Canis lupus familiaris: one gene and its partners. The protein of the gene in region 1 interacts with the protein of each later gene in a biochemical or structural test. Links are inferred from orthologs where the notes say so. Each region holds a gene or a part of one and is shown in the gene's direction. Other genes may lie near its edges. The genes, in order: ARFIP2, ARF5 and RAC1.

Region 1 (10,248 bases):
CAGACACCAGTGAAAGACTGACAATGGAACTAGTCCATTTTACCAGATGCTACTGAGAAATGAAGTAAGTGAGGACTGGGAAATCATCACTGAATTCAGGGATATGAAAGTCATTTGGTGGGCCAGGGTGACCTCATCAAGAACAATTTCAATAGAATAAAGATTGATGTCAAAATAGACTGGGTGGAGGAACGGGAATGGGAAGAGCCACAGTATCCAACTGTTTTAAGAAGTTAAGCTGTAAGGTGGAAAATAATAGTACCTAGAGAGGAATAAAGGAAGTGGTTTGTTTGTTGTAACAGGGGAGTTTCTAGCATGTTTGAACGATGGTGAGAATAGAGTGAAATAGGAAAAAGTCAGAGATTCCCAAAGAAGGACTAGAATTCAGAGCAGGAATAGGCATTGGCATGTTTGCCCTGCTTAGATGGAGGGAATGAGAGAAAGATGCAGATACAGGTGGGTGACCAAGTTTTGTTGTGAGATTTTGTGGTAGCTCCCAACTGTCAGCTTTTTTTTTTTTTTTTTTTTTTAACCTATGAATTAAAAAATAAAGTTACCTGCACAAAATTGAAGAGAATAGTTAGGGTAATAACAGGCTTAAGAATATTGATTCAAAAAAGTCATTGCAGGGAGCATCGGAGACTGGAAAAATCTAGTGGGATTATAGGGGTTGAGACTCCATTTGATGCTGGTAACCACAAATTCAGTGATATAAATCTGCTCTGTAGTGATTTCCTTCAGCTTTTAGCTGTCCAAATGCAGGCAGACAAATACCTCATTTTATCTGAGTCCAACAAAGAGATGACAAAAAACAGGAGTAGCCTGTTCCAAGAGAATGACTGGAATTTAAGCTGGATAGGAATCTAAAGACAGAGGTGTTAATGGAATGAAGGTAGAATCAATGGTTTGAATGCTCCAGCAAAACCAAAGAATAATAGTAAAGGAATAAATCAATAAACAAAGTGGAAGGAATAGTCAGTAAATAGTGTATTAAAGATGGAGCAGTTTGGGGGAAATGACAATGGCTAGGACATAGCTAAGGGAGTGGGTGGATAAGACAGAGTGGAAATTATTGAAGAATGAGAAAAGGGACTGAGAAACCAAAATACTGAATGGACTATCCAGTAACATTAAAGTACCAAGGGGTTGATAGGAAAACCAAGGGCTAGCCATTTCGAGGAAAGTAGGAGAGCAGTGGTTCCTAAGGACCAGTAATGAGGAAGGGTAGTATAGTTCAATAGGCCCAAAGGAATCTGATTTTGCAAAGGAATAGGCAGTTAAGTTCTGAAGTCACAATGGCAAGAACATCAACTCTGTCTCCAAAATGATGTGATAAGGGATAAAGCTTTGTTAACATTCTTGTGTCGTGGGCAACCCAGGTGGCTCAGCAGTTTAGCGCTGCCTTCAGCCCAGGGCCTGATCCTGGAGACCCGAGATCAAGTCCCATGTCGGGCTCCCTGCATGGAGTCTGTTTCTCCCTCTGCCTGTGTCTCTGCCTCTCCCTCTCTGTATCTCTCATAATAAATAAATAAAATCTTAAAAAAAAAAAAAATTCTTGTGTCATGCTTGAAACATCACACTGCTTTCATTACGCCAATGGACGTCACTTTATGATGAGACCTGAGGAAGATGTCAGTGACTACAGGAGATAGGTAGCAACAGTAGAGTTCTTCTACGTACTGAACGTATTTATAAACAGAGAGGGAAGAAGAGGTTAAAAACTTAAGGGATTAATTGATGGATACTTGTTTTTTCATCCCTAGGGACAGGCTGGGTGCACATGAGCAAACAAATATAAATTCTGGAAATTCAAAGAACATAGCCTCTAGAGTCAAGACAGATCTTTCTCAGCCCTGCTCCAGCAAGTAGTAATTATGTGACATGGAAACAGATGATTCGCAATGGAAATTTACTGCAAGGATACACGCAAATGTCCACGGAAGAGTCCTCCCACCAGCAGCACAGTATTCAAGGTCTCCATTCCTGTCTTGGAACTGGTTAAGTTCACAAGCTGCTTTAGCTGAAGTTTTACGTTCCAAGGAGAAAATTTTAATGAGTAGACACAAACCCATTCAGTAGGGAATTTCCTGGTCAGCAGCTTGTACATTCCTAGCAACCATCTGTTGAAGATATAGGAACTAAAGAGATGAAAAGCCATTTGGAGCAACTTTTCTCAAGAGGTAACTACGTAAACATGGGGCTCTGATACATTCTGGATTCTTGCTTCCTCATCCATTAAGTGGGGAATAATATCTCTTACTTGTAGTTTTGCTATAGATTAAAATAGGGATGCCTGGGTGACTCAGTGGTTGAGCATTTGCCTTCAGCTCAGGGTGTGACCCCAGGGTCCTGGGATCGAGTCCTGCAGCAGCCTAGGGAGCCTGCTTCTCTTCTGTCTCTACATCTCTCATGAATAAATAAAATCTAAAAAAAAAAAAAAAAAAAGGCTGAGATAAAGCAGGACATATACCAGCACTGGAACCCATACAAATCAGATGGCTCAATGGTATTTTGAGAGGCAGCCTGGTGTAATAAAAAGTACATGGATTTTATTTTTTTAAAAAAGATTATTTATTTATTTATTTACTTATTTATTTATTTATTTATTCATGAGAGACAAAGAGAGAGAGAGGCAGAGACACAGGCAGAGGGAGAAGCAGGCTCCACGCAGGGAGCCTGACACAGGACTCGATCCTCAGTCTCCAGGATCACGCCCTGGACTGAAGGTGGCACTAAACCACTGAGCCCCTGGGGCTGCCCAGAAGTGCATGGATTTTAAAGCCAGATCTGTATCTGTATCTTAAAAAGATATTAATATCTTAATATTAAGATACAGATTAATATCTTAATCTGTATCTTAATAAAGTCTGCTACTAGAGAATTTCAACTTCCTGATCCACATAGGGGAAAAAATGTCTGCTTTGTGGGTAGTTGTAAGGAGTTTTATGGGAGCCAATGTCTAAGAGCTTCCATTTCCTCCGTAAAAAATGAAACATGGTCCCCTGATGGAGGATAGCTGAACGTGAAATGGGGGATAAGAGCAGTGAAGGTGTAAACTAACTGCCTTGGTGATTAGGAGACAAAAATATACCAGGAAGCCACAAAGGGTTGCTTGTTGGTTGACGCTGGAGACCTTGAATGGTTAGTGCCACTCATTACACAGCTGTGTTTTTGTCTAGCAGTCTGAACAGAAGAACAGTAAAGGTAAAACAGCTGGAATGATACAAAAAGGACACAAGGGAGGCAAGAAAATGCGGTGATGGGGTGATAGGCCATTTAGAATGGTGGCACAAGTAAATTTTATGAGGGCAATAAATGAGAGAAAGATAGAGAGGCTCAGCATGGAAATAACAAAACCGGGACAATGAAAACAATGATGGGTAGAGGACAGAAGAGCTGGAATTAGATTATAGACTTGGAGGTAACGATAAAGAGGTCCCAAGGATTTGTTTTATCTTTTTCCCCATAACCATCATCATCTATTTCTCCCCTGAGCTTTTGTTCCTTGGGTCTGGCTATATTGTAGAATATGGTCCTCCAAGTTCCCCCTTTCTGACTGCTCCTGAAGACAAGCACACAGACCTTCTTTGTGTAAAAGCTTTACTGCTCATCCTGGGGAAGACAGAAAATAATAAGAAAATAACAACTTGGGAAAATGGCTGAAGTTCCAGAACACCCCGAAATCTTACAGGTTTCATTTCAGTTACGGGGCTACTGACTTTCCAGAAGGCACTGCATACAAAAACCCTGTGATTTCTTGATCTGTTATTCTTAGGTATCTCCTCCTTCCCCTAAATTTAGGAGAATTCTTTAGAGCCCATGAAAAGAGTTATAAATGAATGCACACCCAGCTCACAAATAAACCATTAAGTCAGATTTAAGTGAAGGACAACAAGAAGAGCTCTTATTTTCTCTGCCATCTGGGCAGGAACCAACTTCCTATTGCTATTACTAACATTAAAATCGTACCACAGGGGTGCCTGGGTGCAGTTGGTTAAGTGTCTGTCTTTGGCTCAAGTCATAATCCCAGGGCCCTGGGATCAAGCCCCGCATCTGGCTCCCTGCTAGGCCCGGAGTCTGCTTCTCTCTCTGCCCCTCCCCCTGCTCATTCTCTCTCTCTCTCTCACATAAATAAATAAACAAAATCTTTAAAAAAAAGAAAGAATTAAGTAAGATGCACCTGGGTGGCTCAGCCATTGAGCGTCTGCTTTTGGCTCAGGGTAGGATCCTGGGGTTCTGGGATCAAGTCCGGCATCGGGCTCCCCACAGGGAGCCTCTGCTTCTCCCTCTGCCTATGTCTCTGCCGCTCTCTGTGTGTCTCGTGAATAAATAAACTCTTTACAAAAGAAAAAATTGTACCCACAGGCCTTGTTTTAACCAGGTGCCAGGAAATGTTGAGGTTTTCCTTCTACACATAGAAGCCAATTTCTCCACTGCCAGGGCTGAAGCCAACAGATATGCGCTGACAGGATAAAGGATGGGGCCAATAAAGCGGGCAAAGCTTCCGTGCCCAGAACATAAATCAAACAGTGCAAAAGTGGGTTTATTGGCTCCAAGAAAAGGAGCAATACTACCCAGCTGTCAGACAACCCCTCACTCTATATATGGGCTGCATCCAGCCCAAGGTCCACTGGCTCCTTCAGTTTGAGGGTCCATCCAGCGCCTCCCTTCCTAGCTGCCTGATGGTGAGGTTCCGGGCTGTTCTGCAGCAACACCTGGCCCAGCTGAGGCAGCCTCGTAGTCTGCGATGCGGCGCTGTACCAGAGCCGGCATGAGCTGCACGTAAGCGGCCATGAGGCGGTGGTTGGAATGGATCAGCTTCCCAGCACAGCTGTGCAGACAGGCCTCCTGGAAGGAAGACAGGGTGAAGCATTGGTGTCCACTGGTGTCCGTCCCATCCCTGGCCCAGGGGCAAGGGTCATGGAAAGGCCCGGGCCAGAGGTAGGGGCGGTGGAGGTTGGGGACAGTCTACGGCGAACCCCACCTAACCTCTTCAGCGTCCAGAGCTCGGTGGTGCAAGCTGGGCACGCAGCGCTGGAAGCAGAGTTCCGTCATCCGATTGTAGACCAACAGGAAGTCCCGCAACTAGGAGAGAAGGGGACAAAGAGCCCAGCGATAAGGGGGCACCTCGAGGCCGCGCCCTCGAGGTTTCCCAGGACGGCGCGCCAGAGCGCGACGTTCCCAACCCTCCGCCCTCCAGCCAAACGGACGAAGATGCCAGCTGAACTGATGGCCCCGTCGCGACTTAGCACCCACTCACGTTCCTCAGCTGCTGCTGCTGCTGCTGCTGCTGCTGCGGCTCCATCGCGCCACCGGCGCACGCACGTCACTTCCGCACAGCCTCTTGGTAACGCCCCGGAAGTGACCTCTCCTGGCTCCCCGGGGACTGAGGGGTTGCCTCAAGGATCGCCCCGCCCCTGGCTTTAACGTCATCTCCGCCCTTATAGTCTGCGACGTGGCCGGCTTCTTCTGCCCGGGAGGGGACGTCACTTCCGCCGAGTCCCTGACCTGCTGCTAGGATCGCGACGGGAACTGGAGCCCGAGGTCCCCGCGCGGCCCGGGCCTGGCGCCCTGAGGGGAAGAGCGGCCCGGCCCGAGGTGAGAAGGACATACTTGGGCAAGGGGAAGTTGAATGCACGAGCCTGCCCCGAGGGAAAGATGCTACAGAGCCCTGGGGAAGGATGAGGACACACCTGATGCCCAGGTGTGGGGTGGGGGGGGGGCGGGGACTAACACACCTGGGGGACATAACTGACTTTGGAAGGGATCACTATGTGCTGGGAAAATGTGGCTTTTCCCAGAGGCCAAGAACGGACACCAACTGATTCAACTAGGGCCTGCAGGGGGAGGGCTGCAGGAGGAGGGGGTGCATGGGATGGAGGAGGGAGAGACCACCTGAAGGAAAGGGGAAGCAACCCTAAGGGAGTGTGAGAGGCCAAGCAATGGAGAACATACCAGAGCGGGAGGAGTAGGCTCCTGAGCCCTGGAAAGGGGTTAATCTGATGGGAGGAAACAGCTGCATGGGGGTAAGTTCCAAAACAGCACAGACTTTCTCTCCCTTGGCCACTGCTGTGACCTCAAATAGTAGTCTGTTGAATGGTTGAACGCATGAGTGATCACCTGAGTCCTGGTGGGGTTGGGGGTCCGTGAGAAGATACTGGGGACCTGGGTGTGCATGTGGAAAGATACACACCCTGGAGGGGAGAAATACATATCTACGAGAAGAAAGGAGTGGTGGCCGAACCCCAGGATACTCAAGTCTTGGGACAACCTCTAAAATCTCTGAAATGGTGGGGGAGACTTTTCTTTCGGGAGTACTGGCTAGTTTCCAGAACTGTCTGTGTTGGGCTTTGCAGGGCGCTGGGGTGGAGACTTTGACTCCAATCCCTTCCCTAGCCATGACGGACGGGATCCTAGGGAAGGCAGCCACAATGGAGATCCCCATCCACGGGAACGGTGAAGCCGGGCAGCTTCCTGAGGATGATGGGCTGGAGCAGGTGCTTCTGTTTGATTCTTCTCCATATTGTTTCAATTTAGGAGTCCAAAATCATAAGCCCTGGGCTCTCACCCCATTCCAGGAGTTTTCCCCTAACTTATCTAACTCCCTCCAATCTTTACATATCTTCATTCTGATTCTATGCAGACTTCCCTTGTGTGCTCTCTCTGTGATGCTTCAATCCAAGCTTGTTCTCACCCCCCAAATGCTTCAGCTGCCCCAATGTTCCTGAAGCCCCCCTCTTCTCTGGCCTATAGGACCTCCAGCAGGTGATGGTGTCAGGACCCAACCTCAATGAAACCAGCATTGTGTCTGGTGGCTATGGGGGCTCTGGTGATGGACTCATCCCCACAGGTATGAATGATCAGAACAGGACAGGAAGCTTGAATGGACAGAGGGAGTGGAATGGTTCTGGGGAGTATAGGATATGCCTAAGATAGCTTGAACTATGTCTGGAGATTTTGGGAACTCTTGCTAGTACAAGCCCAATGGACTCTACTCAGCCCAAGGCTAGAGCCTAGGGCTGTCCAACTGCTCCCGCTTGCCATTTAGCCCTGAGATGTGTCCATTTGTCCTTTCTTTGCTGCCACCACCTGAATCACATTACGAACTGTTTTGCAGAAGTTCTCCTGCTTTGGAGCTTGAGACTTATTTGGAACTCTGAAGCTTCTCAAAGTTTTGCTTCAGATTCTCAAGTTTAGAGAAGCAAATAGCCCTGAATTTCACACTGACTAGGATTCCACATGAGAACGTCAATGAGATTTCCTATTGTCAGGAACCCACCATCCTTGACCTGCCACCCAATACTCAGCATATTTTCTTCTGTTTTCTCTGCCCCTGTACATCAGCAACTCCCTCCCTCCCCCCACTCCAGCCCCCATCACCATCTCAGGAGGAGGCCAGATATATATTGGGATTTGGGTTTCAGGGCACAAGGTATGAGTTCTTCCTAGTGAGTAGGAGAATTTCTAGTTTCTGCTACTTCAGAGAAGTCATTTTCATGGTGGGAAGTCGGTGGAAAGTCATTTCATAGTGGGGTCGGTGGGAAGTATGGGTGGAGCCACAGAGATGTCTGGTTATATCAGAGAGGCTGGTGTCAAAGAACTTGGTTCTTTAGGGTCTGGCCGCCATCCATCTCACAGTACCACTCCTGCTGGCCCGGGAGATGAGGTGGCTCGGGGCATCGCTGGAGAAAAGTTTGACATCGTCAAGAAATGGGGCATCAACACATATAAGGTGGGATTTAAGCACCTTTCCCTTTCCCCTTCCCCAGACTTCCCCTGGGTACCTTTTCCCCATCTTCCAGATTCCACTCTCCCATCCTTGTCTGAGACGAGGAGCCTTGGGATGCTAGGGTAGATACCTGTTGGGGGGGCAGGGTGCTAGGGTCTCTGACCTATTCCCCCACTTCCCAATCAGTGCACAAAGCAGCTGTTATCAGAGCGATTTGGCCGAGGCTCCCGGACTGTGGACCTGGAGCTAGAGCTGCAGATTGAGTTGCTGCGTGAGACGAAGCGCAAGTATGAGAGTGTCCTGCAGCTGGGCCGGGCACTGACAGCCCACCTCTACAGCCTGCTGCAGACCCAGCATGCACTAGGTGACGCCTTTGCTGACCTCAGCCAGAAGTCCCCAGAGCTTCAGGTGCCTTGGTCAGGCCAAAGAGGGTGGGGGGACTGGGCCCGGGCCCTCCCAGGCAGTCAGCCCTCAGCCTCCCTCCCTCCCTCCTGCAGCCCAGAGGGAGAACCCCTCCAGGGTAGGCCCAGCCCTACCCCCAGCAGCACTCACCTGTGGAGGCAGCCTAAGGGTTTGTACAGAGGTTCAGAAGTTGGAGGGGTGGGGGAGGCGGCACACTAGATGCCTCACAAGTAACCCTTCTCTGCATCGGTGCTCGGCCTAATCAGAGCCCCCCTCCCCGCCCCTTGCCTGCTGCACTAGCTTTCCCTGTTCTCGTCCTGTGAACTTATCTGAGAACCCACTCCCATACTCCTACCCCAGCCATCCCCGGGGTGGCCCCAATAACTTTCTGGCTAAGAGAGCCTTGCTGGAGCAGTCCTTGGTTGTTCCAGTTTTGATGGCTCTTTCCTTCTGGGGGAGGAGGGGAATGAGGGCCCTATAGCTTTAGTTAGGTAGGAATTGTTGCTCAAGGCCTATCCTCCCCTTCTGCCCTCAGGAGGAATTTGGCTACAATGCAGAGACACAGAAGCTGCTGTGCAAGAATGGAGAGACACTGCTAGGGGCTGTGAACTTCTTTGTCTCTAGCATCAACACTTTGGTCACCAAGACCATGGAAGACACTCTCATGACTGTCAAACAGTATGAGGCTGCCAGGTGTGGGCACCAGCAGGGCCCAGGGTTTTGGGAGTTGGCTGGCATGGGTGGAAGTTTGAGGTCATAAAAATTGTGGAAGGAAAGGAGAGTATGTGTGGAGGACACAGGGGTGGAGACCAGCCTGTATCACCCCTTCCCCAGGCTGGAATATGATGCCTATCGAACAGACTTAGAGGAGCTGAGCCTAGGCCCCCGGGATGCAGGGACGCGTGGTCGACTCGAGAGTGCCCAGGCCACTTTCCAGGCCCATCGGGACAAATATGAGAAGCTGCGGGGAGATGTGGCCATCAAGCTCAAGTTCCTGGAAGAAAACAAGGTGCCAACCCCACCCCTTTGACCCTAGCCCGCCTTCCCATTTGTAACACTGACCTACCCCTAAGACCCTCCCCATCACTGGATGGGGAAATGCAGCCTGGCTTACGGGTGGGATCTTCCCCCAACCCCTTTAATTCCTGGACCTTTCTAGTTACCCACCCTCTAGTCCCTGGCCCTTTTCTGTTGGAGGATTTGACTGCTGGTCCCAGGAACATAACTGGGGAAAAATCGTCCCTTGAGCTGAGGTACCAGAACCCCAGGCCTGGGCAAATCAAATCAGGTTTCTCCCATCAGATTTACCCTTATCCTTTGACTCCCTTAGTGGAGGTCAGCCCCCACCCTTAAAGCACCATCAGAGCAGAGTCCATTTACCCCTGGTCTGGGCTCAGGCTCAAGAAGGGCATCTGAGTTCAGTCTCAGCTGACCCTGCTGGACCCCCAGATCAAGGTGATGCACAAGCAGCTGCTGCTCTTCCACAATGCCGTGTCAGCCTACTTTGCTGGGAATCAGAAACAACTGGAGCAGACCCTGCAGCAGTTCAACATCAAGCTGCGGCCTCCAGGAGCTGAGAAGCCCTCCTGGCTAGAGGAGCAGTGAGCTGCTTCTAACCAACCCTGGCTATCAAGAAGGACATTGGGAGAGGCAGTCCCAGGGTGGGGGAGATTGGACATGGGACCTCCCTTGCCACCTGCCCTCTGGCTTGGGTTCCGTTTCCCTGGCTGGGGCCTGACACCCAGTTTTGCCCACACTGCTGTGGGTAGGGAGGGGGCTTGCAGGGCCAGCAGCTGTTGCCCTGTCCTTTATCTTCCTGGCCTCTGGGCTTCATTCCCAGATCTTTTCCTTCCACTCCACAGCCAAAGGCTATGACAAAACCACTCCTTGGCCAATGGCATCACTCCTCAGGCCTGTCCCCAGCTCCTGGGGTGTGCCCCCTGACCAATGGCAGAGCCTCAAAGGCCCTGTCAGCCAATGGCAGCTCTTCTCGGGCTCCCCTGGGCCAATGACGTTGCCTCCAGTACCCTTTGTCCCTCCTCTATGCGTCCCCATTGCAGAGAAGGGGGGACTGGGACCAAAGGGGTGGGGAGAATGGGGAGCCCCATTTCTGGCCC
Region 2 (10,159 bases), on another chromosome or scaffold:
CCGATCATGCTGCTGGGTGATAAGTCGGGCTTTGGTTTCTGCTATCTGCTCCTGCAGCCCCTTCAATTCTCCCTCCAGACGGCCCCTCTCCTCCTCTGCCTTTTTACTGGTATCCTCTAAGTCCTGTTTCATCTTCTTCTTGTCAGCCAGGTAAGAAGCTTCCATGCGAGACTTCTCCTGGGTGACTGTAGCCAAAGAGCTGGTCAAAGTAGCCAACTGAGTCTTCAGCTGGTGCAGCCGTTTGTCCACTTCTCCACCCCCAGATGCTCCATCTCCACTGCTACTGCTAACGCCACTCTCTGATCCGCTGGCTTCTTCGGACTTTGGAGGTGGTGGGCCACGAGCCAGCCTGTCATCCTCTACCCCAAACTCACCCTTGGTGCTGGTGAGACTGGCCGCAGTATCCAAGCTCGTGGCTGTCCCAGTGCTATCTTCGCTGTGAGTGGAGCATCGGTCATCCGCAGAGTCAGGGAAAGAGAGGCCTGGAGGCTGGACGCCTGTGAGGCCCACATCCGCCTCGTGGGACACCGACAGCACCTTAATGCTGGCCTCTAGAGCCTCCTTCTCTTTCAGTAGACTTTTATAGGCGCGGACCACATCCTTGAGACGTGCCTGGTACTGCAGGAGCTGCTTCTTCTGCGTCTCAATGGTCTCCAGCAGGTCCTTCTTGCTCGGTCCGCCCCCGAAATTCATGCCAAACTTCTCCATGTTCAGGACGGGTTGCTCGACGTCAGTCAGAAGAGGCCCGCGGAGACCTTGGCGGGGGCAGTAAACGACAGGGACGGAATGTCCCCGAAGCCGCACACCCGCTCCTCCCCGCTGTCGGAGACCGGATGCAGAGCGCTGGGCAGCCGGGCAGAAGCGCCCGCGGGGTCCCAGGCACCGAGGGCGGGGGCGGGTCCGATCCTAGAGGCGGGGCGACGCGGGCTCCAGGAGCACACGGCGGAGGTCGCCTGTACTGTCCCAGAAGCCGCCCCACGCTCCGCGCTCGCCCAGGCCACAGCAGTCCCGGCCGGCCCTCAGCCCACGGCCGGCCAAGAGTTTAAACGGAGCGCAATCCCATCCCCACTTCCTAACCGCAGTTGCCAGAGAACGGCGCTTCCGGGTCCGCTGGAAGTGACGACACGTGACGCAGCTGGCCCCGCCCCCCAGGGGGCGCGTGGCGGGTGGAGTTACTTCGGCCGGTGGGTGGGAGGCGGCCTGTTCAGAGCTCAGAGCGGCTGCGAGCGCCGGACCACCAAGCCCGGATTCCGGAGTGATAATGGTATGGTGGGGGCGCCTGAGCCCACCCTCGGGCTCCGATGAGCGAGGAGCAGTGCGCAGCGTCACGCTGGGTCCTCCTCAAACACCCGGATGAGCGACGCTTCCCCACATTTAGCTCTGTCGCTAAAGATCAACAAGTAAGACTCCCACTTAGACCACGAAAACTGTAAGCCTTGATAGGACAGTTTTGGCACCTATTAGGTATATAGTATAAAAATTATTAGCACATTGGGCAGCCCGGGTGGCTCAGCGGTTTAGCGCCGCCTTCAGCCCAGGACGTGATGCTGGGGTCTGGGGATCGAGTCCCACGTCGGGCTCCCTGAAGGGAGGCATGGAGGCATGGAGCCTGCTTCTCCCTCTGCCTGTGTCTCTGCCTCTCCCCTCCCCCCCCCCCGCCCCCCGCCCCGTGTGTCTCTCATGAATAAGTAAGTTTTAAAAATAATAATCTTTAAAAAAATTATTAGCACCTTTCCTGAGTTCTGCTGAGTTGATTCAACAAATATCTGTAGAGAGCACCCTATGGCCATGACCCTCATCGTATGTGCCAACTGTATTCCAGGACCTTCACGAGAGTTTTGATATTAAGCCCTTGGAGTTATTCTGCTCAGTGGATGGAAACATGAGACACAGGTTAAATAACATGCCCAAGGTCACACAACTAGGAATTCTACCTATATGTGTCTAACTCTCACCAAGTGCTGCTCCAGGTGACCACTCTGAAGAGATAAGGTCCTGTCCTCAAGGTGCTTCTTCTATCTAGTGTTACAAACACAAGTCCTGCTCTGATACCAGTATGTATGGGGATTTTCAAAGTGACATGGAAGTGAAGAGGAGGGCGGCCTGTCTAGGGGAGGCAGAGAATGTTCTCAGGGAAAATACTCAGGGATTTGAAGCATGAGTAGCAATTGTCCATCTAACTAAAGATGAGGGAAACAAGCATTCCTGGTAGAGGGGAAAGATTGCAACAGACTCCTACAGCATCAGAGAGGCTGGTTTACCCAGGAAGCATTGAGAATCATTTCATGGCAGTAGCTTAGGGTATGTGAAGGAGGTGGCAACAGATGGGGCTGGCACAATAGGTGGAGACAAATTAAGGCCTTTCGATTTTATCTTGGGTGCTAAGAAGACACTAAACAATTTTAATCTTGAGTGGCATCATCCAGACTTGTATGACAGGTTGAAGATACCAAGGGGCAGCCGACTGGTAAGGACACTATTTTTGTCCTAAGGAAGAGGATATGGTAATGAAATAGGGCAATGACAATAGGGCAAAGGAAGAAGCTAATTAAAAGAGCTAAAAAAGCTGTAGAACTGACCTGACTCGGTCACTAGTTATTATATCGAGACTCTTTTAAATGCACTCTTCAACCTTGTAAAAAGCCTTCTTAGGAACGCAAGTCTATGGCTGAAGAGTAAAGGAAAGTCATGGACTCACTCATACCTAGTGCCCAGAGTCTGTTCTCTTTACAGACTTTTCAGGTCAGGATGGGGCAGACCCTGGAGGTCTATTCAGACCTAATTAGTTTCTTAGTGGCCCAGATAACATCCAGCTGCACCATACAGACATACAGATATATTATCATTTTAATCTTCACCATAACCTCATTAGATAGGGCAGATATTAGTTTCCTTCTGTAGAAAATAAATGAGTTGTGAGGATTGAAGCTAAACCCTCCAAAAGAGGGGGTGGGTGGGGACAGAACTGAGATTTGACTGAGACCTGGAACAATGGTCCATAGTGGGCATTCAATATTTGTTGAGTGACTGAATGAATAAAGGTTCTCTGACTCTCAGCTCCCCTCACCATGTCCAGTCCCTAAGCAATTGATCCTAGAAGCCTCCTGGCAATCCAGTTTCAAATTGCTTGTCCTTGCTCCACTGAGCAGCCTATTAGTCCATTCAAACCAGCAAGTACTGTATTTATTGAGCATATATTAGGTGCCTGGCACTGACCCACTCTCAACCATAGACACAATTTAAATTAATTCCTGTCTTGCTATTTCCCCCTTGGTTGCTGAGTGGGAAAATTACTTACGAAGCACTTTGAGTCTAAAGCCACAAGAGTTTCATAAATTCCTGGATAGGTGTGCATTAAAAATCCGGGTTCCCAGGTCTCTGGCAAAGTGAAGAAGCTTCAGAAAAGCTGCCTGGATCTACTGAAAAGCATTGTGCCCGGGGCCATCGACGCAAAGGCGTTGTTGTCCAGCATGCAGGACAACATGCTGATTGCAAAACCAAGAAGGCCAGCTAGCGCTTGGACACCCTTTTTCCACCACCTCTCTTTCTCACTCCTCTCGAGATTCTACAGTCACTTGAACTACCTGCAACGCTCAAAGCCCCTCTCTGGGCGCTGAGGGGCCAAAGCAGACTAAGACGCATCACAGAGCTTCCGCTCCCCTAGGAGGGTGGTGCATACAGTGGATGGTGCTAGTTCGCTAGAGCTAACTAAACCAGAAAGCAGGGTGGGCTGGACGCGACAAACCAAAGCCCGAGAGGCCGGCCACTTAAGCTGAGGGTCAGGGGCCGTTGGGGAGCATTGTAAACTTTCCTCGGCCCCGCTCGGGCTGCCGGTGAAGCAGCCACAGATCTGCCGGCCCTCGAGAAACGAGGGGAAACCCAGACCCTTCCCCTCTTTAAGCCTGCGCGGGACGCGGCGAGCAAGCGGAGACTCGCTGAGCTTCAGATTTAGCCCGAGCGGGAGCCTGGGGGCGGGGAAGGGGCGGGGCGGGGGCGGGGCCCGGCCGGGGGCGGGGCCGCGATGACGTAGGGCGGGCCGGGACGCGCGGAGGCGGCGGCGGAGCCTCCTCCTCCTGCTGCTGCGCCCCATCCCCCAGCGGCCGGCCGGTTCCAGCCCGCACCCCGCGTCCGAGCCCGCACCCCCTCCCCCGGGCCCCGCCATGGGCCTCACCGTGTCCGCGCTCTTTTCGCGGATCTTCGGGAAGAAGCAGATGCGGATCCTCATGGGTGAGGCAGATCAAGCGCGCGGCCCGGACCGGAGCGTCGGCCCCCGCGCAGCCCTCCCGCCCCCGCGTCCCTCCGAGCCCAGCTCAGCCGGGTCTCTGAACCCGAGTCACCCGCCGCCTAACCCCCCTGCGGTCACTGCTCTCGGGCGGGTCGCGATCTGCAGCGCCGACCCCGGGGCCTGAGCCCGGGAGCTGCGGGCCTGGGTGGGGTGAAGCTCCCTCCGCCCCAGCCAGGCTGGTAAGAAGGGAGGATTCCGCCCTTGGAGACGACTTTTAAGAGGAGCGCAGCCCTCCTCCTCGACCCCTTACCCCTACCCCTCTCCCGCCTCTCGCCCGCTTCGGGGCACGAGTTGGTGCTCACCACCCAGACTGCTCTCAAGGCCTCGAAGGTGGAGGACAGCGCGCACCTGCAGGCGCTAGGGCTCTCCGCCCCAGTCTCCATCAGCTGTCCTGGCCTCTCCCCTTCCCTGATCTCTAGAGGGCTCCCTCGCTCCCGTCTCCATCCCTATGCCCCTCTCCGTTGCAGTTGGCTTGGATGCAGCTGGCAAGACCACAATTCTGTACAAACTGAAGTTGGGGGAGATTGTCACCACCATCCCCACCATAGGTGAGTTCTGAGGCGAGGCGGGGAGGAGCGGGAGGCTGATGGGAGGCCGCCTCAGGGGCTGCTCCCCATTCTGCCTGAGGCCCTTATCTCCGTGCAGTGAGCTGACCCTGACACCAGACACTGCCACCTGAGAAGTGGGTCACAGTTACCTTTAGTTGCTGGATGGTGCCGAGGCAGGGTGAATGTGACCTAGCCCCGCCTGGTCTGTGGACTGCCGGTCCTCTGCGGTTCTGTTCCCATGGGACTTCGTCGTTGCCTTCTGGTTTTATATGTCTCTGATGAATCCACCCAGATTTAATGAGTTCCTTTCTTTCAGGACTTTGTTCTCATATTTTTTCCCCATTATCTCCAGGCTTCAATGTGGAAACAGTAGAATACAAGAACATTTGTTTCACAGTCTGGGACGTGGGAGGCCAGGACAAGATTCGGCCTCTGTGGCGGCACTACTTCCAGAACACTCAGGTGGGGTGGGGCTCCCCAACCCCCAGAGAAAAGGTGTTAGAGCTCCAAACCAAGATGTTGGCATAGGCCCCCAAGCCAGGAAAAAAAAAAAAAAACCTTAACCTCCTTCTGTTCTCATCTGTAGGCTTGCTTCTATTCATCCTTCAGAAATGGCCATAGTCTTCTGAGACTTAGCCACCTTATGCATCTCCTGAGAAGCAGGGATCTGAGGCCATGTGGCCTCGTTTATTTATTTATTTTTAAAGTAAGCTTTCACCCAATGTGGGCCTTGAACTCACAACTCCGAGATCAAGAGTTGTATGCTCTACTGACTGAGCCAGCTGGGTGCACTCATGCTGCCTCATTTAGCTCTGGTCTCATCTTTCCCTGTTCCCTTGCACTTCTTCTAGCTACACTGCTTGCCTGAGGGCAGAGTCTGTATCCTTCGCAGGGTGTCGCCAGTTTGTGCCAGCATGTCTGCAGAACCTTAGTGAAAATTTACTAGATGAGAAGGTTTAGACACAAAGATGGGGAAAAGAGAAAGAGCCAGACTAGGCTATGTCCCAGGTGAGAGTGATTGCTTGTCTTTTCTTCCTTCCCACCCAGGGCCTCATCTTCGTAGTGGACAGTAATGACCGAGAGCGGGTCCAGGAATCTGCTGATGAACTCCAGAAGATGGTGAGCACCCAGAGCCCTGGTTGCTGAGCCCTCGTTGGAGACAGATCTCTGAGATCTCTGTGCTAACATGAAAGTCAGGAAATAGCTTACAGGCTTTGAATGTCTCCCTTTGTGGATGCAGACACAAGGAGTATCTCACCCTGTTTTGAATTTGAGTTGGGTGAAAGGCATATGACTGACTTTTTCCTTGAATTTTCATGTCTTCATATCTGAGAAGTTGGTGGGGAAAGGAGGAATTATATGTGGTGGAGAGAAATATCATCTTACATTCTTGTTTTCCCATTTGGAAATGTCATTTTGACTAGGGCAAGTCATTAGAAAAAGGGTCTTTCTGGATATAAGTCCAAATGGCTCCAAGCTGATTTATGACTCTGTCTTGTGTTCAGCAGTAGACTACGCAGTATTACTTTTTTTTTTTCCCACAAATCTGGTAGGAGGTAGGAAAGGGTGCTCCCCTACACAGTGGGGAAGAGGAAGCCTGGAGACTCCGCTAGGACTCCAGACTCCATCCCCTTCACCTCCCTCAGCTGCAGGAGGATGAGCTGCGGGATGCGGTGCTGCTGGTGTTTGCCAACAAGCAGGACATGCCCAACGCCATGCCTGTGAGCGAGCTGACCGACAAGCTGGGGCTGCAGCATTTGCGCAGCCGCACGGTGAGGGTGCTCCCTCTCCCAAGGGAGCCACAGGCTGGGGCGGGAAGTCAGGGCATCCCCTTTTCTTCCTTGCTGCTGATCATTCTTTCCTTTTCCCCGCAGTGGTATGTTCAGGCCACCTGTGCCACCCAAGGCACAGGCTTGTATGATGGGCTCGACTGGCTGTCCCATGAGCTGTCAAAGCGCTAACCAACCAGGGGCCGGCCCCTGCTGCCCGGAAGCTCCCGCGTGCATCCCCGGGACAACCAGATTCCCGGACTCCTCAGGCGGTGCCCTTCCCTCCCACTCCTCTCCCACAGACACAGGCCTCTGCTCCTGCTCCTGCCTGCATGTTGTCTCTGTCATCTGAGCCTGGAGTCTCACTCTCCGGGCACGGAGGGGTCTGCTCTCCTGCCTGCTCGGACTGTGGAAGGGACTTCCAGGGCTGAGGCCCTTTCTTCCAGAGGAGGAGCAGGGATCTGGGTTTACTTTTGTTTTTTCCATTTTGGGTGTACCCTTGGGGCCAGGTGGGGAGGGGAGGTGAGGGCTCCGGGTGGTGCTATGATGGATATTGAGTAATAAATTTGCTGTGGTTTCTACACAGTGTTGTCTGTAGCCTAGAATGGGGGGGGGGGTGTTGTTGGGTACAAAGAGACAATATGATATGGGGGAGACTCAAAGCAGCTAAGGCTGTAGGCGCCAACCCTCCCACCAGCGTGCCTGCGGACACACTGCTGCCTTCATATAGCTCAGCTTCACCCTCCTTATTCTCGAGGGTACAAGTACCTCAGGTACCACATTCCCTCCCCAATTCCAGGGGAGCTTTGTTGAGAGTAAACAGGCTCTACCTTCGTGAATCTGTAAATCCCATACATTCTGTTCCTCTCTATCTCCTAGCTACTTAGAGCAGTGGTTCTTAATGATTACTATGAACATTAATATGGAGGAGGAGGGGGAATATTTATTAAAAATACGGTCCTGAGGTGTACTTCAAGAAATATGATTCATAAGGACTGGTCTGAAGCCCAAGAATCTGAATCTTTAAAATTACACTGGTGATTGTGTCACTAGTAGTCTCTTAGCCTTATTTTATAAAACATTGGTAGGACCCTTTTAATCCTTGGGGGTGAAAGCTCCTCACTGTGCACTGGACCTCCTACCTGGGAAGACACCCCTGCCCTGTACTACCACACCCCCACCACGGAGGCCTAGGAAAATGTATGTATGGAACCAGGAGGGTGGGCTATTGTCCAAGTGTGGTTCACACTATCCATTCTTTGAATCCCAGCAAAGCTTAAAACCTACCATCACCACCATTATTTCTTCTTGCCTTTCTCCTTTCATGTCAATTTCTCTAGGTTCTGGACTGATTTTCTCCATGAGCTTTGTAAGAAGTGAGTCCCAGAGGCTGTTGGCCAACAGGGACCCTTTGAAGGAAAGGGTGCACTAGCCATGTGCCCAGCAGCAGTGCAGCTGGGGATTCTGAGGGAGATGCCCAGTGCTCTTCCCATCTAGAACATTTTCCTTCCCCTGCTCTGAGCTAGCCCTTTCTGATGAATATGAGTAATTTGATCCTTGCTGGTTATCTATCTAGGGTTTCCTCACATTTCCTGAAAAGTACCTTCTGAGACATTTTGGCCTCATTCTCCCAAGGGCTGTAAAAGTTAATAGATTTTTCCTGGATATCTTGAACTTTAAAAAACACTTGAGTCCCAAGGGAGCCAAGCAGAAGTTACTTCCTAGGGATGAAAGAGGCTGGTTTTTATCCTGTGATTAAAATGGGAAACAAGTGAAGACGATGTTTGCCTATAGTCACAGGTGAGCACCAGCACAGGCCAAAATTCTGATTCCCAGTCTCAGCTCAGCCTACCTTGGTGTCTGGAGTTGCGTGGGAGGTTAACGCCAGAAGCCCTAGACCTACTTCCTCTGGGCTGTGGATTGACATTGCCAGGCCAGTGCCCTTTCCTCACTGTGGATAAGAGGCAGCCTTCACAGTCACAATGCTCCCGGGTCACAGAGGTGCTGGGCCCTAGGCCAGCCTCTGCCTGAGAAATTCTCTCCGGGAACTTCTTCTGGTGGGTACTACAGGCCTGATTCCAGGCCCTATGGCCTGTGGAACCGCACCACTGGGGGGAAGGCAGGGCCGGACAGAGTCATCACCTGTGGTGCCGGCCCCATGGATGAGGTGGAGTGGACACGAAGACCCAACCCTGAGGAGCTGAGGGTTGGGCTCATCAGCTGGGCAGGATCCTACCTCACTTCTGAGGCTTATAAGAATACGGTCACGGCTACTGCAAAGGGTTTGGGCCGGAGACAGGTAACAAAGCAAACCTGTACTGGAGTTGTTTTTCCCAGTGGCCAAGCTTGCTCTTTCACATTCTCTCTCTCTCTCTTTCTTTCATATGTGTGTGAGTGTGTGGTGCCTGGGGTACACTTTCAACCTAATCATTTTCCTAGCCTTTGTCACTACTAGGCTGAGACCCTCCTACCCCAGGATTTTGCTCACAGGTCTCCTTCTCTCTGTCTCCTCCTCTCTAAACCTGTTCTGAGGGGCAAAGGCTCAGCCCTTGCTGCCTTGTCTTCTCTGGCTGCTTTCTTCCCTCTGCCCCAACACTGGGTGGTTGTGTCATCACAATGAGTAGAGGTCAAGAGCCCAGGCTGGAAGGCAGAATTGTGGGAGTCCAGAGCAAGATGGATGGGTGGAGGGACTATAGGGCTGGTGATACTGTTCTGGTTGTGGTTTAGGAATGGGGAACTCTAAAGCCCTAAGAGAGTGAAGCTCTTCATTTTAGGGAGAGATGTAAGCAACCCCACAATGGCACTACAGAGTGAGGTAGCAGCAAGGCTCTCATTTACAACAGGGTTGATCACAGCTGAACCAGACAATTGCATCTCAACTGTGTGTGTTCCCATTCTTATCCCTGGACCCTGGGCCCACCTGTAAGAGATCTTGATTTTCTCCTGCCATGCTGGGGAGGTGGGCTCTGGGGATGGGAGTGTTAGCTAGTGTGCTATCCAGGGACAACAGTGAGGAAAAGAAAAGTAAAACTTAAACCAGAGCACTAATTAGAAAATTAGGTATTGAAGGAAGCCACCGAGTAAGAGAGAAAGAGGTTTACCTTTGGTTAGCTAGAAGAGGTAGGCATTCAGAACTTCTCCTGGGATCTTGAGTAGTACTCTGATTCCAGCAGTAGGGACCTCCCGAAATCTTTTGATTACTGTTGGATGAGAGAGCGGGAGAGCTGACAGTCAACATGGAGGCCGATGTGGAGGGGAAGGTGGTTGGTCCCCATGAAGGTTCTAGGATTAGGCCAGGAGAAATGGTGGTAGGACTCCCTGGCCTAGTCATTTGGCTGTAGTACATTTTCTTCTCCCTCCCAATGCCTCCAGACCTGGGAGATCTTGGTGAGCAATGAGCACGACACCCAGGCTGTAGTACGACTGAGGAGCTTGCAAGGCCTCTACCTCCTGTGTGAGGCAGATGGCAGTCTGTGCTATGGCCGGCCAAGGACCAGTCACCATGGATGCTTCCTACTGCGTTTCCACCGCAATGGCAAGTGGACTCTCCAGTGCAT
Region 3 (9,503 bases), on another chromosome or scaffold:
TAGTGTGCGCATGTGCAAATGGGGAAAAGGGGCAGAGGGAGAGAATCTTCAAGCAGACTGCCTGCTGAGTGCAGAGCCCTGTGTGGGGCTCAATCTCATGACCCAGAGATCACAACCTGAGCTGAAATCAAGAGTTGGACACTCAGGACACACAACAAACTGAGCCAGCCAGCTATTCCCCCCACCCCCTTCCTTTTTTAAAGTTTTAAAGTTTTTTCCATGCAACAGTCATTGTCTTTTGTGTTTATTTTTTCAGCTGGAGGAATTCTCAAATACAATTAATTTGAACTGTGGATTTTTGCTACATTATAGTAATAGTGTTCAATAAAGACCAAACCCATAAAATGCTAAGTCTGAATGAGTGATGCCTCATTTAATCTCCAGCTAAAAATTAACTGTGATTAAGTTTTAAAAGTCAGCTCATAATCCCCAAATGGTTCGAAGTCTTCAGTATGTTTAGGAAACTTCTGTCCCCAGTGGGGGCTTGATAATTCCAGATTTTAAGTGGATTTGCTACCTATTGACTGGTAGAGTAGGAGTCTCTAACCTACTGGATACATCTGGAAGGGTGGGGTATCACTTCTGAGAAATGAGAACCACCTCCTGTGACTCAAGGGGTCCGGGCAGGGTGCGGCCTTTTTCTCTGAGGGAGTCATTCACAGTAAGTCAAAGGTGACTTGGCAAGATTCCCACTCTGTATGCTAGAGAACACAGAGATAAAGTAGCAGATTGAATCAGGCTGCAAGGTATGAAGCCCAACATCCAAGTGGGTGGGGGTGTTGTCCTTCTAGGGCAGGACTTTGTAAACTTTGTTTCATCTGTACAAGGTGCTAGTTTCCTGTCAAATACTTGAATGTCTAAACGGGTGGAAGGCATGATTCTTGCCCTCCAGTAGTTCACACATGTAGGTGTGTAACATACCACGTACCAGCACAGGGGGTGTCCTGGTGCTTAGAGCAAAGAGGAGAGTGGCCATCCTGCCACTAAGGACGTGCTTGCTGGCTTCTTTGGGGATGAGGAAATTGTCTTGGCTTCTGGGGGGAGGCCCTGAATGCTGTCCTACTGAGAGCAACAGGCCTGGTGGTTACAGGCTGGCATCTCAGCAGAGGGGACACCTCTAAACTTTGCACTGACTGGAACCTGGTCTCTGGTTTTTGGCTCTTTGGTCTATGGGACTCCGTGACTCATCCATGACTGTGCTCAGATACTCCTGAAGGGACAGTGGACCATTTCTTACCCAGATCTCACCCCTTACTTAGGACATTGTGACCCAGAAACATCCTGTTTCCTGTGGTCATTTAACGCTGTTCTCCTTGTTTGTAGGGTGACTCTGGGTAGCGAAGTTAAATCTGTGTGAAGCATTTGTTTCTACTTTGTTTTCCAAAAGATGGCGAGCGGGTGGTCCTTTTCAGGAGAAACTATCCTTCACGTTTTTGTTTTTCTTGATTAAGTAATCCTTCAGGCTCTTCCATCTCTGAATAAGTTACTTTAACACGCTCTTTGAAAATACCCTGTGAGTTCGGCACACTCCCCTTCAGCTGGTCTATTCGCCATCGTGGTATGGTCCGTGCAGGGCTGTATTTGCCTTCTTGTTCCGGGACTTGGTGTGAGTGGGAACACCTGGGACTTGCCAGTCACAACAAGCTCTGTGTGGGTTCTGAGAAAGCTCAACATTACCCAGCCTGCTGGCTGACGTGCCGGGCCTCTTGTGCCTGGGTCAGCCGGGACGTTTGTGTGAGCTCACCTTGAGAAGGGCTAGGCTGCTTACTGATGCTTAAAAAGAAAAACAGTAGCATTTAGCTTGGCCTTTTTTTTTTTTTTTTTTTTTTTTAGTATTTTATTTATTCATGAGAGGCAGAGGGAGAAGCAGGCTCCATGCAGGGAGCCCAATGTGGGACTCGATCCCGGGTCTCTGGTATCACTCCCTGAGCCAAAGGCAGGCACTTAACCTCTGAGCCACCCAGGTGTCTCAGCTATTTTGATTTTCATATGGCTTTCTACTTTAAATTGGCTGTTACAGGATTTGTGTCCTCCAGCCAGAGGTTATTGGGAACACACTTGTGGCTGAAAGAAATTGGGTTTGTTCTCTGCCCTGAGCCGGACGTCCACCTGGGGGCTCGAGAAGGCAGAACTTGCTCTGGATTGGGTGCTGGCTAGAAGCAGGGTAGTTTTAGGGATGCCCTAATCTCCTCTACAAGGTGGGGATGAAGCCGTGACTGGTGCAGAGATAGGCATGCAGTCCCCTTGTCTGGGAGAGGGGGATGTTTGGTGTTTTTATAATTTGTACGGTGACCTTGTATTTGAGGTTAGACAAGATTGTGAAGTGTTCTTCTATTTATTTCTTTATTTTTGTGTTCATGCCAGCATGGTCAAATAGTGACCTCTTCTAACCCCAGCACTCTGGGAGATGGTCCCATTCAATGGGAACTTGCCATAACCAAGCTGTGAGCACTGGGCTGGCTCCCAGGTGTCAGGGCTGCTCTTCGCTTTCTCCAGAGCATGTTTTCTTAGCTCCTCCTGGATGCCACATGCGTAGTGTCTTTGCCCTGTTTGTGTGTCTCATGCTGCTTTTCTCAGTTCATAGAATACCCGTAGTAAAAAATATTCCAAGTCTGAAAGTAAAAGCCAGGTGGAAGGCCTCGGAGAGGAGGATCTAGAAGAGCCCCACCACCCCACAGTCTGTCTGCTCATATCCTGCTAGGAGCCACTCGTCTCTCTATGGTCCCCCTTCACACATGTAGGAGGAGACCTGCTTTGTGATACACAGGTAATGAGGGCTGGGTGGGAGCATGTGTAGTCAGAAGTGTCCTGCCAGCATGGGGAAAGCAGCTAGAGGAGAGGTAAGCTTGTGGCTCAGGACAGCTCAGGTGAGTAAAGAGGCTCCAGCACATCGGTGACCCTGGGAGGAAGGCTGAGCAGGCCAGGCCCTGCTTTGGAGCTCGGGGGTTTGCGAGGACAGGCGTTAACATGGAGATGCCCTGCCAGCCATGAGCAGCGTGGACTCTGTGCAGGGCGTTGGTTTAGAAGGCCGAGGTGGGAAAGACTTGCTGCTGGAAGAGATAAGTGTCAGAAGCATAAGACATTTTATTTATTTTTAATTAATTTTTTTTTAGGAAAACTAGTTTTTTTAGGATTTTTGTTTTGCTTTTTTTGTTTTTTAGAGGATAGGGAGGGGCAGAGGGAGAGCAAGAATCCTGAGCAGGCAGTGTGGAGCCCATGACCCTGAGATCATGACCTGAGCTGAAATCAGGGGTCAGATGCCTAACTGATGACCAAGCCAGCCAGGTGCCCCTAGAAATATTTTTTTTTAATTTTTATTTATTTATGATAGAGAGAGAGAGAGAGAGGCAGAGACACAGGCAGAGGGAGAAGCAGGCTCCATGCACCGGGAGCCAGATGTGGGATTCGATCCCGGGTCTCCAGGATCGCGCCCTGGGCCAAAGGCAGGCGCCAAACCGCTGCGCCACCCAGGGATCCCCCTAGAAATATTTTTTAAAGCCATATTTTGGCTGGGGGAAGGAGGAGGAGAAAGGAACAGGCAGATGGCGTAATGTTAATGTAGGATGGAAAGCATGTTTCTTCTTCAAAAAAAATGTTCTTAAAAATTGGAAAGGGTAGAACAGATATGGTTGGAGGATATTTTGAGGCTGCATTTTTGTGGCCAATGCCCAGGAGTTTTTGTGTCACAATAAATATTTGGTGGCATGTCAAGGCCTTGGGAGCACAGATCTTCAAAAGTCGCCCATAGATTAAACCCAGGATAATTAGGGCAACTTTCATGTTGTTAGAATTGTAGATCAGAGAGACTTAAATGAGATGAAATTTAAAAAATTCTCTTGTCCATCTGTCTCTTAAAAAAAATTGTAGGTTTCTGTGTTGCTTGAAGAGCAAGTCTTTCCGATTTTTGTCGGAACAAAGGAATGAATTGATGGCACTGTGGTAAACATGAGAAATGCTGTCCCTTCTGGGCGTTCCCCTCCAAAGCTGGGGGGGGGGGGAATTAAAGGTCTCAGTGCATTTACTCCAGTAATTCAGGCCCCTAAATCCAAACTGCATTCCCAGGATTTGGGGGAAGAGAGGACCAGCACTTGCACACAGGAGGCTGGCCGTGTTCACAGCTCTCTGACTGGGCCGTGCTCCTGGGGAGTGCTTCGTCTGAGAGGCCTGTGTTTACAGACAGGTGCTCTTCCTGCGTGCGGCGGCTTCAGCTGGGCTTAGGTCTCAGACCTGGGATGGAGAGCTGTGACAGGTGTGCCTATTGCCAGTGGGAGCCAGCAGTGGCACAGGGATACCCCTTCGGTAAGGAAGGGTGCTTCCTTAACCTTTCTCACCTGGACGTGACCCGTGTGCTTTCTCAGGCGTGTTGTGGCTTCTGCTGGAAGCACACCCTCTGTGCGCTGCCATGGCTAGAAAGGAGTGCCCCCCTCCTTCCCCATATCTGCCTGACATCTTGTCTTCACCCTCGTTGACCTTCACAGGGTTTGATGAACTGTTTGGTGGTATTTGTCAGTTGCTTTCAGATCCTTTAGGAGGGTTGAGACAATTCTGATGAAGAAATAATGGATTATATTGACTTGCATTTTCCTCAGTTTTTACTAAACTCAGACAAAGTTCTCATGCATTACTAGGTTGGAGAAACGTATGGTAAGGATATACCCTCCAGGGGCAAAGACAAGCTGATTGCCGTATGTAAAACTTTCAATCCACTTCAGTTTCAAGCTTTATCTGTTCTCTCATTTCACTTAGTTTTCCCAGAATTTCCTGTTGAGCCTCATGTTCCTTGAGTGTTTTAAATTTAATTCACTCAAGGTTGGGGTTTTGTTTGATAAAATGTGCTTTCAGTAGAGCGAGACAGTTTACCTACTAGCTTGAATTAAAGTGGTTTGTGAACTGCTTGCTCCCCTCCTCCCAAGGGGAAGGAGGAACTTTTATGAAGGGGCCTCTTCAGGCGGGTTGGAGATGAAGGTGTGGAGCCCCCTGCCCCAAGCCCACCATGGAGCCCATGCTTGAGCCCAAGGGGGACTAACCGTGGCTGCCAGGGCCTCCTCCGCTGTGGTATCCGGTGTGCGGGCCTGTCTGCGGCATGGCTGTGCGGTGCTGGTGAGCTAACCCACCTTTGCTTTGAAGTGACGTAATCAGGTGCCAAAATGCCGAGGTGATTCTTGGACGAGCCTGTGCATGCGCTAGCGTTTGGAAAATGTCATTTTAAAAAAGCTGTTGTGTGGGATGTTTCTCTCCCTTTCCAGGTACAAGACATCAGCTGGATTGGTGAAAGTGTTAGCTTGGGAATTGGGTACATTTCACAAAGCATAGCTGCCTTTTTCCAGGAAAATGTCTTATAAACCTAGCATTTTAGAAACTCTTAAGCATTTTTAAGTACAGGTAAATATTTTAGTTTGGCTTCTTACACAATACAGAATGGGAGATATGTTTTACATTCAGTCAGAAAATCTTCCAGGTATTTAGTCTGCACTGACTTTTCCTCTGAATCTCCACTTTGCCACTGCCGCACGCTCTAAGTCCTGCAGAGAACCCCACTTGGGATTGAGAAGCTGATAGCCAGGAGAGGCCACTTACACACAAGATTGCCCTTCTGCACAGTGGTTGTGCTCACTGAGCAAACCACTGAGCCCCACTCCGGGCCAAGGGACTCTGGTGGCAGTTCTTAAAGCAGCAGTTTAATTGCACCCCAGTGGTCCACTATACATGTACTTAATGTGCACATGAGGAGTTTACTGAAAAGCACACTGTTGATAAAGGTTTTTAAAATCAACTCTGCTTTTGATAAATGGAGATCACATTTTACAGAAATATTGGAGTGGTAGCTTGATTTTGTCCCTATATATAATAGGAACATTAAATTCCGGGGTGGAGGGGATAAATTCCCAGGGGGAGTTGGAAATGATGGAGAAGAAGCCTCTGGGGGTTCTGATTTGAGGTCCCCCCTGGCCTCCAGTAAATTTGAGCACATTCTAGTAAATCCTCTCCCCCCTTTCAGAAGTAACTGGCTGCTTCATGTGCTGGCTCTGGTTTGGGAGCCTTCTGACAGAACTGAAGGGGGGAACCAGGAAGCAAGCTTTAGACACAAGCTGCTGGTACATATACGCAGTTCGTCTCATGATTCATTCCCAACAGCATTTACAAAGCAAAGTGCATTCATCATTGTAAGACCATTTCTAAACGCCTCCCTGTTTCCTTTTTATAGGATGTATTCTTAATTTGCTTTTCTCTTGTGAGTCCTGCATCATTTGAAAATGTTCGAGCAAAGGTAAGTGGGGAATGTTTTAGAGGAACATCTTGTTATGTAATGTCTCCTTGGGAAGCAAAAATAACACTTGGTGATAGGAGTTTTAATTATTTAAATTGATGTTGTAATTCTACTTAGGTAGCAAATCAGTTTTGAAGTATATGACTTTATTATGTAGAGTTCTGAAGTTTCAGGGCCTGATTCAGAAACGCTTTGTTCCTTGCTAAAGTAGTGAGCACTTTGGAGTCTGCCTGATGGGGTTGTCTAATAAAAATAGTGACCATGACTTTCCACTGCTGCCCTGGTCACTTGTGAAAAATGACATGTGCAGGATGTCCTCCAGTTGTGGTCAGGGATGTGTTCAGTGGGGCTCATGGTGGCAGAGCTGAGACCTCAGTCGATAGTTGACTTTTTTGCTGAATAGGGAGGTTTCTCAAGAGACCATCTAAGAATTTAACTCATTTTACCAAGAGGTAGTGGTTTGGGGGAGGGGGATGTTCCCTCCTTGCCTGTTCTTGGGAGTCCCAGCTTGCTATTCGAATGCCCACAGGTAGGCCCGTGGTTCTGGAAGGTATTGCAAGGTGAGCAGGGCTGAAGGGTGGGATGCTGTGTCTTGTTGAGGACTCTGCAGCAACTAAGGAGTGGCTGACAGTTTGACACCTGTGGGGATGTAATTTAGGCAAAAGAGGTTCATCAGGGAGGGTGTGGTGACTCTCTTCCTCTCTTACATTTAGTGGTACCCTGAAGTGCGACACCACTGTCCCAACACCCCTATCATCTTGGTGGGGACTAAACTTGATCTCAGGGACGACAAAGACACGATTGAGAAACTGAAGGAGAAGAAGCTGACTCCCATCACCTACCCACAGGGTCTGGCCATGGCTAAGGAGATCGGTAGGAAATCTGCATTTTCACATCTGCTTTGCACGTGCTTTTATTTTCATGGCAGAGACAGGAGTCCAGTCTGTGGGAAGTAAAGAGCATGTTTTTCTGACTCAGGCTATGGTTGACTTCTGGGGAGCCAGCCAGGCAAAGCTCTCAGTGTGAGCGCTCAGTAGGTGAGCTCCGGGTGCAGGTCAGGGGTTGCTCTGCTGTGCCCAGCGGGCTGTCAGGAGTCTGGGCCTGGGGAGCTGCTTCCTGCCCTCCTCCTGGACAGAAGGGTGGGCTCCACATGTGGCTATGAGGCTGTGTTTCTCGGCAGGTGCTGTAAAATACCTGGAGTGCTCTGCTCTCACGCAGCGAGGCCTCAAGACAGTGTTTGATGAAGCTATTCGAGCGGTTCTCTGCCCCCCTCCCGTCAAGAAGAGGAAGAGAAAATGCCTGCTGTTGTAAATGTTGGGTTCCCCTGCCCCATCCCCCTCAGAACCTTTGTACGCTTTGCTCAAAAATGGTGGAGCCTTCGCACTCAATGCCAAGTTTTTGTTACAGATTAGTTTTTCCATAAAACCATTTGAACCAATCAGTAATTTTTAGGTTTTGTTTAAAGTGTAAGACTTCAAACTTTCACATTAAAATTTAGCCCTAAAATGGCCAGCTTTCTTAAAGCCTTATTTTTCAAAAGCCCCTATTCTTGCTCAGATTAAGAGTTGCCAAAATACCTTGTGAACTAAGTTGCATTGTGCTGAGAACACTAAGCACTAAACCGTTCAAGATCCCTGTCCTTCAGAAGAGACGGCAGTGTCTCAGGTTTGGACCTGCAGACCTGTGCTTGCTAGTTTCCAGTAGGAAAGCCGCACAGCCTCCTCGAGCTGTTGCCACATTGCCATCTAAGCCCGTGGCCACGCCCTAACTGTACTGTATGTCCTCACGGAAGGAGCATAATGACTCAATTCTTTGGATCAGTCTTTTTGATTTTGTAGTGAAATTTTTTTAAAAAGTTAGTGTATTCGCTTTTGCTGACATTTTGAACAGACCTCTCACTCCCATGTTCCTCCAATGAGGGCGGGGGGCACAGCACGTGACGCGATCAAAGGATAAAGACAGTATTTTGACAAAATCCGGAGGTTAATTTACACTACATTGTACACGTCATAATCAAACTGAATAAAAGTGTCACGGGTAAAATTTTAAAAGGTTAATTTCTGTCAAATGCAGTAAATGAAGAAAGGTCGGTATTATCACTAAGTGTTTTAAGCTTTTCCTTTTTCTTAGACCTGCCATCCTTCCTGAAATTGGGCATTTAATTCATCTTTGAACTGGTTGTACCCATAGTTGCTAACTTAGTGCTTTTCTTATAGAACCCCTTCTTAACGAGCAATATGCCTCCTTGTATTATAAAATCTTTCTGATAATGCATTAGAAATTTTTTTTTGTAGATTAGTAAAGTGCATTCCTGTTTCCTTGTTACTTTATTCAAAGCTAATAAGCACTCTCCTTAGTTTTCTAGTAACTAGGTGTAAAAATCATGTGTTGCAGCTTTACAGTTTTTGAAATATTTTAGATATTCCTAAACTATGAACTTTCTTAACATCACTGTCTTGCCAGATCACCAATACTGTCCCCTGACTAACGCTGGCCCTCCTCTGCCTCACCCCCCGGACACACGCTTCCCGTTGCCCTGCCTGACCATGTTCCCTTGGGTCTGTGACATTCTGTAAGCCCGTGCTTGTGCTAACGAAGTTCTGTACGACTTACCCACTGGCAAGAATACAAGGTTGGACCTCTCAACCAATAAAATAGAACAACATTTTTTAAATTGACAGTTACAGAATCGTGGAGTGTTTTTACATTGATCTTTTGCTAATGCAATTAGCAGTATGTTTTGCATGTATGACTTAATAAATCCTTGAATCATATGATTGTGATACTTGAATTCTTAAGAGCTCGAGCAATTTCCTGGGGTGTGTTCGGTTGTCTCACCTGAAAATCCTGGGTTGTGGGAAACCTAATTCCCAGTGCATGTTTTCATACTGGAGGGCTTGGAAGGGGCCCCTCCTGGAGAGGAGCTGGGGAATCAGGTTGGGTTCTGCACCTCCTGAATGCTGGGGAGACCTAGGTGACATCCACACTGGGGTGCATGTGCATACATCCTGGGCCAGAGCTCTGGGCTGAGGCAGACGGTGGCAGCCTGATAGGGAAGAGGCTAATGATGACTTTGAATCAGATTCTTTCTGGAGCCTGAAACTGTACTATGAACTGGTCATGTTAGAATCAGTTTTTTAAGTAATCCTTTTTATTGCTCTGAAGATCGCTTTGAGTATTTTTTAAAGAGTTTAAAAACCACATAATTCTAGGGATGCCTGGGTGCTCAGCAGTT

What was found.
Region 2: the proteins of ARFIP2 (region 1) and ARF5 form a complex in vitro, tested with the Homo sapiens proteins (2 studies listed by BioGRID). The link is inferred for Canis lupus familiaris from reciprocal best matches to the Homo sapiens genes ARFIP2 and ARF5.
Region 3: the proteins of ARFIP2 (region 1) and RAC1 form a complex in vitro, tested with the Homo sapiens proteins (2 studies listed by BioGRID and IntAct, with this or other methods). The link is inferred for Canis lupus familiaris from reciprocal best matches to the Homo sapiens genes ARFIP2 and RAC1.

The regions. Positions count from the first base shown.
Region 1 is NC_049242.1:30,301,528-30,311,775, reverse strand, and holds the start of ARFIP2 (arfaptin-2), read left to right. Parts: upstream 1-5,447; 5' UTR 5,448-5,598; intron 5,599-6,356; 5' UTR 6,357-6,398; coding exon 6,399-6,497; intron 6,498-6,753; coding exon 6,754-6,850; intron 6,851-7,613; coding exon 7,614-7,732; intron 7,733-7,915; coding exon 7,916-8,137; intron 8,138-8,666; coding exon 8,667-8,824; intron 8,825-8,965; coding exon 8,966-9,140; intron 9,141-9,580; coding exon 9,581-9,736; 3' UTR 9,737-10,248. Other genes in the region: TIMM10B (mitochondrial import inner membrane translocase subunit Tim10 B), read right to left, coding at 4,672-4,848, 4,990-5,085, 5,261-5,305. UniProt on the Homo sapiens protein: Plays a role in constitutive metalloproteinase (MMP) secretion from the trans Golgi network. May have important functions during vesicle biogenesis at certain cargo subdomains, which could be predominantly utilized by secreted MMPs, such as MMP7 and MMP2.
Region 2 is NC_049235.1:8,595,323-8,605,481, reverse strand, and holds ARF5 (ADP-ribosylation factor 5), read left to right. Parts: upstream 1-4,054; 5' UTR 4,055-4,160; coding exon 4,161-4,227; intron 4,228-4,752; coding exon 4,753-4,833; intron 4,834-5,185; coding exon 5,186-5,295; intron 5,296-5,880; coding exon 5,881-5,952; intron 5,953-6,479; coding exon 6,480-6,605; intron 6,606-6,707; coding exon 6,708-6,794; 3' UTR 6,795-7,185; downstream 7,186-10,159. Other genes in the region: GCC1 (GRIP and coiled-coil domain-containing protein 1), read right to left, coding at 1-708; FSCN3 (fascin-3), read left to right, coding at 8,761-8,901, 9,975-10,159.
Region 3 is NC_049227.1:11,833,596-11,843,098, forward strand, and holds the end of RAC1 (ras-related C3 botulinum toxin substrate 1 precursor), read left to right. Parts: intron 1-6,205; coding exon 6,206-6,268; intron 6,269-6,981; coding exon 6,982-7,141; intron 7,142-7,448; coding exon 7,449-7,579; 3' UTR 7,580-7,717; downstream 7,718-9,503. UniProt on the Homo sapiens protein: Plasma membrane-associated small GTPase which cycles between active GTP-bound and inactive GDP-bound states.